Linked DNA regions of Canis lupus familiaris. The protein of the gene in region 2 interacts with the protein of the main gene of each other region in a biochemical or structural test. Links are inferred from orthologs where the notes say so. Each region holds a gene or a part of one and is shown on either strand. Other genes may lie near its edges.

Evidence for each region. The genes of interacting proteins can lie anywhere in the genome.
Region 1: the proteins of BLNK (region 2) and CD79A form a complex in vitro, tested with the Homo sapiens proteins (2 studies listed by BioGRID). The link is inferred for Canis lupus familiaris from reciprocal best matches to the Homo sapiens genes BLNK and CD79A.

The regions. Positions count from the first base shown.
Region 1 is NC_049222.1:113,151,192-113,156,910, reverse strand, and holds CD79A (B-cell antigen receptor complex-associated protein alpha chain precursor), read left to right. Parts: upstream 1-2,152; 5' UTR 2,153-2,246; coding exon 2,247-2,325; intron 2,326-3,329; exon of another isoform or gene 3,330-3,479; intron 3,480-3,741; coding exon 3,742-4,065; intron 4,066-4,229; coding exon 4,230-4,348; intron 4,349-5,130; coding exon 5,131-5,199; intron 5,200-5,331; coding exon 5,332-5,451; 3' UTR 5,452-5,700; downstream 5,701-5,719. UniProt on the Homo sapiens protein: Required in cooperation with CD79B for initiation of the signal transduction cascade activated by binding of antigen to the B-cell antigen receptor complex (BCR) which leads to internalization of the complex, trafficking to late endosomes and antigen presentation.
Region 2 is NC_049249.1:9,879,705-9,885,359, forward strand, and holds the start of BLNK (B-cell linker protein), read right to left. Parts: upstream 3,659-5,655; 5' UTR 3,398-3,658; coding exon 3,351-3,397; intron 1-3,350. UniProt on the Homo sapiens protein: Functions as a central linker protein, downstream of the B-cell receptor (BCR), bridging the SYK kinase to a multitude of signaling pathways and regulating biological outcomes of B-cell function and development.

The DNA.
Region 1 (5,719 bases), on a different chromosome or scaffold from region 2:
TGAGTCCCACATCAGGTTCCCTGCATGGAGCATGCTTCTCTGCCTGTCTCTGTCTTTCAATAAATAAAATCATTAAAAAAAAAAAAAACTCACTGTCCTACTCTTGCAGCCTCACAAGCAGGACAAGGGGGTTCCAGGGGGATTGTGCCCAGATTACAGGAGAAGAAACCTAGGCCCAGACAACCAGTCAGTTGGCAGAGCTGAAATCCAAATATAGGAATCAAACTTGTGGCCCATGCTCCTCCACATAGGTGATGGTTGCACTTTTTAAAAAACTTATGGGGGATCCCTGGGTGGTGCAGCGGTTTAGCGCCTGCCTTTGGTCCAGGGAGTGATCCTGGAGACCCAGGATCGAATCCGTCAGGCTCCCGGTGCATGGAGCCTGCTTCTCCCTCTGCCTGTGTCTCTGCCTCTCTCTACCTCTGTGTGTGACTATCATAAATAAAAATTTTTTAAAAAATTAAAAACTTATGAAATGCTTCAAGTATGCAAAACTTCCTATTCCTATTCCTGTGAGAAGAACCCGTGGACACACTACCCAGCTTAAAGAAGTAAAACAAGACCTAAAACCAAGATGGGCAAAGCCCTCTATCCCTCCCAGTCCCAGCCCTCCCTTCCCCCCCAGAAGGAACCCCTCTCAGGAATTGGATGTCACTCCCCCGCACAGTTCACACCTCAAGTACAGGTGCACGTGTCCCTAACGGCACCCGATGTCGTTTCGCCTTTTGGAAACAAGTCAACTGTTGCATGCTACATGTTTTTTGTCATTTTCATGCCGTTTCTGAGATGCAGCCATGTTGACAAGTAGAGCTCAGCTTCTTCCTCTGCGGAGTGCTACTCCACGGGCTGCCTACATCACAATGTGTGCATCCCATCTCCCTTACATGGACTCTTTGTTTCCACATTTGCTACTAAAAATGTCCCTGCAGTAAAATTTTTTCCTAAGTGTCTCCTTATGCGTGAGCGTGATGGTCCCCCGACTGCTCACAAACATCTCAACAATCTCTTGTAATTCCCCACCCCCACTCCTCGGACTCAGTTTCCTTCCACATGACCTACAATGATGCTCCAAGGTATGTGGGCACACGTAAGTGACTTTGAATTTCTGCTCCACCACTCCCAGGCCGTATGACACCAGGCAAGCTACGGCATCTCTCTGGGCCCGTTTTCTCTGTACAATGGGGCGGGGCCTACCTTGCCCACTTGTGGGGAGGCTGACTTGCCTCAAGAACCCTCCGTGGCTCTAACTTCTCACTCAGGTGCTGGGAACATCATCTCATGTTACAACACCGGAGTTATTCTCATCCTCTTCTCTAAATGCTAAGGCTGGGGTGCCCAGCTGGCTCAGTCAGTAAGAGCTGGTGACTCTTGACCTTGGGGTTGTGAGTTTGAGCCCCCTGTTGAGTGTAGAGATTACTTAACAAAATTTTTTTAAGATTTTATTTATTCATGAGAGACACAGAGAGAGAGAGAGACATGCAGAGGGAGAAGCAGGCTCATGCAGGGAGCCCGACATGGGACTCAATCCGGAGACTCCAGGATCAGGCCGTGGGTCAAGGGCAGGCACCAAACCGCTGAGCCACCCAGGCGTCCCACTTTAAAATTAAAAAAAAAAAAAATTTAATGCCAAGGCTCAGAATAGGAAGCCACCCCTAGTCATAGAGCTGGTCGACCTGCCTCATTTTTTTCCTCATGAGCATTAGTAGTAACCACTTTTTACTGAGCAGCTACTATGGGCTGGGCCCTGTGTTCAGAGCTTTGCATGCACAACCCCTTTGAATCCTGGGTTCCAGCACCAAGAAGTGAGGACATGGAGGCTCAAGAGAGGAGATAAGCTTTGCCTACAGCCAGTGAAGAGCAGAGACCAGGCCCAGAAGCTCCGGGCCGGCAGATCACCAGTAGGCAAGAGACACCTCAGACTTTGGCTCCTTCAGGCTTCCTTCCCAGGGCTGGCCTGTGAGGAGCCAGGCCTCGACTGGTCTCTTTCCCCCACCCAGCAACCTCCCCTCAGGGGAATTGTGGCCACAGGTGCAGGGAGCGGTTTCTCTCCACTCCGGGCCTGAAGCACAGTGACAGGGGCTGCCCCCCCTCCTCCAGCCCACAGCTGAAGGGGCCCAGCCGTGGGGCCATTGGAGCCCATCTCCGGCAGGGCTGGGCAGGAAGTGGGGCGGGGTTTCGGGGCAGCCGAGGTGGAATCTGGTACCCCAGGACTGCTGCTCCCCAGACCAACCACCCCACTGGGAAAGATGCCTGGGGGTCCCGGACTCCTCCAAGCGCTGTGTGCCACCACCTTTCTCCTCTTCCTAATCTCTGCTGGTGGCCTGGGTACGTGGCTAACAGGCTGGTGCTGGGAGGTGGGGGCTGGTGGGGCGGGGAGGACTGAGGAGGCTGGAGAGAGGGCAGAGGCAGAGACGAAGGCACTGGGAGTGGAAGTGAAGAGCCAGCAGGTGTAGGGGGGTGCCGGGAAAGCCCCTAAAGAAACTGCATCCACCTGCTTGACCATCCTGAGCAGGCCGCAGGTCCGAGGGGAGGCTGCAGGGGATTCGGCAAAGTTGAAGGGGTGTCCACAGCCACATGGACGGAGAACAGGGCGACAGACGACTTCCCCACCCCCTCATCCCCACAGGTCAAAATAAGGAACTAAGGTTGCCCTTGACTGAGCTCCAGAGCTGGGGGCAGGAAGGGGACTTGGGGGTAGCTCTCAGCTTCAGAGAGAAGAAACAGCTTTCTCCTTCTTTGCCTTGAATCTCCGTCACCCCACTGTGTAGGGAACCCCTTCTCAGTGCTGGGGAAGGGGGCTCCTCATCAAGACACTGCCCTCCTGGGGCTTCCTCCCCACCTCCACCCCATACAATGCCAGCTGGTGGGGCTGTGACTGTCCGGGTTACACACTGGGAGTGGGGCCAGGGATTGGCTCCCACGCCCCTAAGGTTGCTGCTTCTTTCTCCACCTCTTCCTCCTCCTCTCTCCCTCACCTCCCACCTCCTCCCTCCAAAAGAAGCAGAGCCAGCCAGGTGGGTGGGCCTGCCTGGGGGACTGGGAGCTGGGGTTTCCCCAGCAGCCAACCACTTCGCTGAGGCCCTCCCCTAACCCCCCACCCCCACCCTCCGCACACCCAGTTGCCAACCTAACTCACTCCTGACCCCCAGGTCTACACACACAAGTTACAAAGAACAAGACGGGTTTGAGGTCACAGGGCAAGGTAGGCCCAAAGGCTCAGACTTTGAGATGCTAGCCTCTCTTGCTGCCCTGGTGATGCCAGGCAATCAACGCATCCTCCTTGGGCCTTAGCTGTCCCACCTACAAAATGGGATAATGAGAGAACCTACCTCGAAGGGGTTAGTGAAGATTACACCAGATAAAGTGCCAGGTGCCAGGAGAAGCTGGGGGCTGGGAAAGCGAGCCTGGAAGGCCTTCAGGAGGAGGAGGTGATGCCCAGACTGATCCTGGAGGTTGCTACCTGGTCCAGGGCACTCCTACTGCAAGGAAATCAAATATCCAAACGCCACTGAGTTCTCTGGGGGCAAAGGACAGAGCGCAGGCAGGGAGGGTGGCAAGAGATGGCGCTGGTGAGGTGTGGGGACCTGCAGGGGTGTGTCACCACCCCAAGGTGTCTTACACTCCTCCTCGGGAGTGTCTTCAACACCCTCCGCACATACACACACACAAGCGCCCAGGGGTGCTGCTGCTGCAGGCCAGAGCTGGGGCCCATCCACAGTCCCTGTCTCCTCCTCTCCACAGGCCCCGGGAGCCAGGCCCTGTGGGTGGACGGGGGCCCGCCATCGATGACGGTGAGCCTGGGGGAAACAGCCCGCCTCCAGTGCCTGCATAACCGCAGCAGGCTGTCCAGCAAGCTCAACATCACGTGGTGGCGCGTCCTCCAAGGCAACGCCACCTGGCCCGACATCTTCCTGAGCTACGGCAAAGGCCCCAATGGCGAGCTGACCATCGACACTGTGAACAAGAGCCACATGGGCATGTACCGATGCCAGGTGGAGGAGAAAGATCTCAACCAAAAAATCCTCAGCTCCCAGCAGTCCTGCGGCACCTACCTCCGCGTGCGCGGTGAGTGCCAGCCCTGGTGTGGCTCCCAGGCCACCCGGCCATGCTGCCCCATCTGCGCCACCAGGATGGGGCCGCGGACATCAGAGGGTGGGGACAGGGCTGGGAGGCCAGGAGGGTTGGGGCGGGGAGGCACCAGTGCTCTGAGCAGCACCCCCTCCTCCCAGAGCGGCTCCCCAGACCCTTCCTGGACATGGGAGAGGGTACCAAGAACAACATCATCACAGCCGAGGGCATCATCCTGCTGTTCTGTGCCGTGGTGCCTGGGACCCTGCTGCTGTTCAGGGTGAGCCCCCCGGTGGACCGGGACCCTCTGACGCTGAGGTCCCCTCCTAGCATGGGAGGGTGACAGCCCCATCCCAAGGCTGAGGGGCAAATGAATTAGCACCATGACAGGATTTTGAAGGGGGCAGGGGGTACTCAGCGGGTGGCTCAGCGGTTTAGCGTCTGCCTTTGGCTCAGGGCATGATCCCGGAGTCCTGGGATTGAGTCCCGTCAGGCTCCCTGCAAGGAGCCTGCTTCTCCCTCTGTCTGTGTCTCTGCCTCTCTCTCTCTCTCTCTCTCTCTCTCTCTCTCTCTGTCTTTCATGAATAAATAAATAAAATCTTTAAAAAATCAATAAATAAAGGGGGCAGGGCCCAGAGGGGCCTCCTCACCCCGTCTCCCCTCAGGGTTGTCCTCATACCCCCCAAGTCCCCCTCACCCAGCCATGGTGTCTCGCTCTACCCCCCCCCCACCAACCAGAGGCACAGGAGCCCTCCAGAGGTAGCCAGGGAAGAGGGGCCTGGCTGTCCTCCTGGAGTCTCTGACCTGCACCAGCCCCGCCTTAGGCCACAGGACAGCCACTGCCATTTCTATGATAGTTGTGGCTCCTGCAAGAGCAGTGAGGCAGTAGAGACAGCCAGGGGGACACGGGCTTGGATCCAGAGACACCTGCCACTCACCTGCTATGTGGCTTTGGCCATACCTTACCTCCTCTGGTCAAGCACTTCTCAGCATCCAGGAGGTTCAGAAAACATCTTCTCCTCCCACCTCCCCTCACTGTGGCTCCCAATCCCTCCCTCCCAGAAACGATGGCAAAATATGAAGTTTGGGGTGGATGCCCAGGATGACTATGAAGATGAAAACCTTTATGAGGTGAGTGGGCGAGTGGGGACAGGTTAGGGGCGGGTGCGTTGGGGCTCTCATGGGGGTCCTTCCCGGGGTCACGTGGGGCCGTGGGTCTGGGCGTCAGGGTGCTGAGCCCCACCACCGTGTGTCCACACCCAGGGCCTGAATCTGGATGACTGCTCCATGTACGAGGACATCTCCAGGGGCCTCCAGGGCACCTACCAGGACGTGGGAAGCCTCCACATTGGAGACGGGGATGTCCAGCTGGAGAAGCCGTGACCCTGCAGGGTGACCCTGTGGGCTGCCCTCTCCTGCTGTGTCGCCAGCTCTGGTGTCCCCCCACCCCTTCCTGTTCTCTTTTCATAATCTTTCCTGGAAGTGTCCTGACTCAACTTCTCCCTTGAGGGTGTCTGCTCTTCTTCCCTTTAGACTGTCCTCATCCCCTCCCCATGCCCCAATTCAGCGCTCCTCCTGCTGCTTTTCCCCCACCCCCCCCCCCCAACACCCAGCGGGTAATGAGCCCTTAATCGCTGCCTCTAGGGGAGCT
Region 2 (5,655 bases):
GGATAAAATCTTTGAAAGCTGCCCAAGAGTGGGGTCAGAGAATGGTCTCCATGCTTAAGGGATCACATAGCATTAGAGCTGAGAGAGACTTTGGAAATTGTCTGTTTCCAAACTCTTCATTTTATAGATGGGGGACACAGGGGAGATGAGGATCTATCCAGGGTGATGTGACAGAAAAGCCATATGTAGAATATATGGAAGTATCACAAAATAAAGACTACAGGGTGTGGTAGTAAATGGCAGTGCAGAGAGGGATGAATCAGAGTTAGGGTTGATGACAATACTATTGACAGAAACAGAGTATCAGAGATGGAGCTAGTGGCAGGAAGGTGAAAAGAAGGTGAATTTCTTTCTTTCTTTCTTTCTTTCTTTCTTTCTTTCTTTCTTTCTTTCTTTCTTTCTTTCTTTCTTTCTTTCTTTTTTTAAATTTCTACAGCCCAACATGGGGCTCAAACTCATGACCCTGAGTTCAAGAGTCGCATGCTTTATCAAGTGAGCCAGCCAGACACCCCAGTGGATTTGTTTCTGAAGAATCGAACTTGAAAAATCAAGTAACTGGAAATTCCAATTAAGGATTCCAAGACTCGAGAAGAGAAGCCATGTCCCAAAACCTGTGAAATTAGATCTCTAAGTAAGAGTCCTAGCAGTGAGACCCAGACACCCAAGAAGGGCTCTGTGTGCTCAACAGTTTTATTAGCCACTTAGGTTAAGGCAGAGGAGGGTTGTTTGTTGTGCCTCCAGTCCTTGCAAAGCTAAATGCCATAGGAGTTACAACCAACAGGTAAAATAACCAAAATAACCGAATAACCAAAATAGATAAAAAGAAGAACTGAAATGAACATAAACTTTATCAAGGATCAATGTAAAGTCCTATGTTTCTATTCAGGATTTCAATTACACACCTATGGAATTAATAAGAAAGAATAATAATGATATTAATATCATTTTTAATCTGATAATTATTATGGGCCAGGATCACTATGTGCCCTTGATGGACACTAATTATCTCTCTACTTTTGTGGCTAAAAATTTAAGCAAATTCTCATCTAAATTTTGATAAACCTAAGAATATAAACACAGCTCTTCACTTATACTGTCACCTGGTACCAAATAATTGCAGTTAGACAACCGTCTGATTTGGTATTAACGAGTCAGGACAGAGGACACAGACCATAGGGATCAATTACTTCATTTCCCTACTCCTTGCCATCCCATCTAACTAGAAAATATTTAAGATGGTGCTTCAAGTCCATCGTGTTTACAATTTCATTTTTTTTCATTTTTTTTTAAAGTTCCACGTCAGCAGTGCACATTTTACCAAAACAGACCAATTCTGTAAAGACAACTGAGTGACCAAGTGGAGAAAAAGTTACTTCTGCCTAAGCAGATGAATGTAGTGTATGATTATCCACAGTAGAGTTTTGGTTTTCTACCCTATAATCTATGGTTGCATATTGCCTGTCAACCACTCTGTGATTAAGCTGGTCTTTGTCCCAAGGGATGGGGGGTGGCAGGTGGAGATCATACAGTGATTCAGGTTCTAGTGCTTTCCTTTACTTAAATTCTGATCTGGATTTCCTAAAAGGGGTTCTAAGGCTTGGTATAGCTCTAGGTTATGGAATGTTTAGAAAGGACTTTTTAAAACCCTCTTGCTCATTTGAGAGAAGCACTAATATCCATGCCTTGTTAGTTTCTTTGGCATGTCTTTCTTACCTCTCCTTTCCTTTCCCTTCTCACTGCTGTGCCCCATGTCCAGGCCCCTAACACTAGAAGCCGTCATTCCTCAACTACCGTCATTACAGAATATCCCTGCCCCCAGCTTCCTACCCCTGTAGTCCATTCTGTCACCCATTAGTAAGCCTGCTGGCATGGCATCTCTAACCCTGTAAACCATTCTCTAATCCCCCACAGTTAGAGCCTCACTGTCCTCTGTGAGCTGGCCACACCCGACACATTCTCCCTTATGACTACCCTCTGGTACCATATACCCTATTCCATAGTCTCTGTTGGACAGAACACTCTCCTCGTCATCCCACCAATGCACTGAGTCAAGGCCAGCCTCAAGTGTCAGCTTCTCTATTTCCTTCCTCCTGGCTCATTGCTTTTCCTCCAATTCTCACACTACTTTTGCCTTAAGCCACCTCTCAAACCTAGCTCTTGAAGCATCTTCTCCATGAAACCTTTCCTGGCTATCCCAATTCCTTTTCTTTTTTTTTAATTTTTTTTTTCCAATTCCTTTTCTATACTCATTCAGTCACTTACTACTTTCATTGATTCACCTGCCCCCCTCCCATGAGAGTGTAGCAACTTGAAACCAAGGCAAAGGCTGAGGCACCTTCTTGTCCCCTGTCAGTGCAGGTCATACCGCAGCCCTCACCAACACACCCTTGAAATGTCTGAGCACATTAATGGAGCCTACTGGTCCCAGATCAGCAGTTCATTTCAAACCACTATTTACCAAGCACCGGCCAAATGTAAGATGCATACTCTCACTGTAAAGGGCCATCCCTCTACCAATTCCAGGCTAATTTCTCATAAATTTTGTCTCAAAAGCTCTAATTCTCTAGCTCCTTATTATTTGTGGAAACTTACTTGCTTCACGTGTCATATCACCCTCTAAAAACTGAAGTTCAAATGGTAGTTGGAATATAGAACACTCATTGTGTATTTAAAAGTTTCAGTCTCTAAAAACATGATGCTGTTACAATGAGACAAAAAGATCTTCCAAATGAGAATTTGAGACATTGTCTTTTCCATAACTCAGAGGAGTTTTTTGATTCTTGCTCCTTGCACCACTTCTGTTTTTTTTTTTTTTTTTCCAAGTGGCTTTTTTATAGATAATTGTTATACTGACATAAGAACACTGGAAAAACAGATCTCCTGTCCCCAAGCACTTGTGATATACACCCACAAAATAAATAAGAGATAGTACAACTACAATGAATACAAATGATTACAATGATCCTTAACATTAAATATTAAATAGTAATCCACAATGAAATAGTTAAGCGTTTAGCAAAGGTTAAACAAGGGTTAGACAAACCCTTCCTTAGACTAGTTTGTTGTATTCAGACTCAGAAAGCTGAACTTTAGTAGAATCTAAGCCAGAATTCTCCAGAATTTTCTACCTTAATCTTTCAATAGCTAAAACCAGCAGGAATAAGCCCACTTGTTCCTACATATCTCTTTAAAAACTCAGTCTACTTCCCTATAGCAACTGCCACCCACTGCCTTACAACTAGCAAAGTATTCCAGGATTTCAATATTTCTCAGATGCAGTAGGAGCATTAAAAAAAAGAAGAAGCAGAAGAAGCAGAGGAAGGAGAAGTATTAGATAAGGAAAATCTTACCTCAACTTCTGACTGGCAGGGACAGTTATTTTATTAAGCTTGTCCATTCTTTTTGTTAATTATAAGAACCACGAATAACCGTCAGCAGTAATGTCAGCAGGCCCTGGCCCTCTTAGGGAGAAGCATGGTAAGCCTTTGATCTCAAGGGTCCCAGTCACTTGAGTCTGATTTCCGAGAGTGCAGGCTGCTGGCAAACACCCTACAGTAGGGAGAAGTAAAACTTGCTCGAGCACATAGTCAAGTTTCATGTTTCTACATAATCATGTGATCTGGGTAGCCAGCCGGCTTGGCTGATTACTCCACGTCGTGTAAACTTTAATAGTGAAACCTATTGGACATGCAAATTTCTTTCCAGCTGCTTTCTTTTATAACCAGATTTGTAATCAGGTCAGGACTGGCTTCTAGATGGTCACTACTTCCTGTTGTCCCAAACACACATAGCCCTGTTTTTAGCAGGTGTCATTCTGTCCCCAGTTGCTTCCTGGGCTCAAGGAAAAGCAGAATAATCAATTCCATCAGGTCTCTTTGGGACTTTCTGTTCATTTGCATAAATTCATGGATAAATTTTTCCACTTAAAGAACCATGATATGAAAACGGCATTTCTGTACTGTCATTTAGAGAGCAGAAGGCAGTTTAAGTCAGGGAGGAGGAAAATGAGAGGGACAGTTCCTTTTATGTCTGGGCACACTTCCCTGCACCCAGCAAGAAATTCCTGCTCACCTTTGTGAAGAAGGTGCATATTTAGCACATTTATTCAGTGACTAATCCTCTCCTGGGTCTGAAGAATATATAAGAAGGACATAGCAGAGGCTCCAAGTTACCTCTCCTGTTACAGACCCCAGGTCTGGCTGAAGATAGAAGGGGAGATGGGAGGAAGAGCCAAAAGGAGAGACCTGAATGAGGTGGGGTAGGAGGAGTGGGGAGGAGAACGGGAGGGAGGAGGAGAAGGAAGAGGGGAGGGAGAGGCAGCCTCTCTGGCAGAGTACAAGTGGTAGATGGATTTCTTCCCTTCTGTATCTATTCTTTGTACAAACAGAGGTTCTATATTTCTCTAGGTAAATCTTGATTGTTCACATTCATGTTCTGCCTCTGAATTTCTAGTTCGACCAGGTGTTCAGGAGCAGAATCCTCAAAGCTATTAAAGGGTGGGGCCCTTCTGCTTGGCCAAGCCACTAAATTGGCCAGGCCAGCAAGGGAGCAGACAATCTTTCATGAGAAAAATTCAAGCACTTGCCTCTTCCAATTGTTTATTTTCCCCAAACAAGAAGCTCAGTTTCCTTGCAGTGTATCCCGAAGGAGTCCTAGAGCCTCACCTATCCTCTCTCCATAGTTCTTAACTGAAAAACAAAAACAAAAACAAAACAAAACTAGTAGATGGGAACAGGGAAAGCTATTACAATGTCACCAAGGATCAAGAAAATCAAGCTTCACTGAGTGGGATGATGATAGCCAGCCTGTTTCTTCTAAATTACTGTAAAGTGCACCCCATCAGCCACTTGACTTTTCTCTCAACTAACAAATCTGTTTAGCACCTGGACTGGCAACTTCTTATTTCCCCAGAGAAAAAAAAAAGCAGCGGCAAGAGTTACACTTCTGCTTTTTCTTTTTACAGCCACTTGTCTTTCTTCTTTCTTACTGTATTAGTCTGACATAATAAAAATGAGAGTCTGCTTTTCCAGACTGGACATTTTGCCCCATGTGGTGTGTAGCATGACTACCATAATGTTCCAAGCTGCCACAACTGCTCTGCAGCTGTAACCAGCTTTCCAAGAAGATCAATGCAAGCCTGGAGATCAAGGGTACCAAGTCTTAGCTAATGACTCGTAAAAAGAATGAGGCCACACGGCATGGTTTCCACAACACATGGAGAACAACGTACTGTAATAAACAGTCACAATTTACATGGCACAGTGCACATGAAAATTAATCTCTAGATGAACAGATGACAAATGGACAATCCCAACCTTAGAGAAAATTTGGAACTCTATGCACTGTTGACAAAAATTCAAGTAGGTACAATCACTCTGGAAACACTTTGTTATTACCAAAGTAATTTGGGTCATAGACATGAGAAAGCAGTACGAATATACTGTGTACACCAAGGCCATGTGCAAGAATTGTTATGGAAGAACCATTTCTAATAGAAAATTTAAAAACACTGGAAAAAATCCAATTGCTCATCAACCAGAGAATGAATACATTAATTGTGGCATATGAATGCAATGGAGTCCTATTCAACAGTGACAATGAGTGAAGTATAGTCACATTAGTATGGATAAATAATAAAAATAATTTATTGCAATA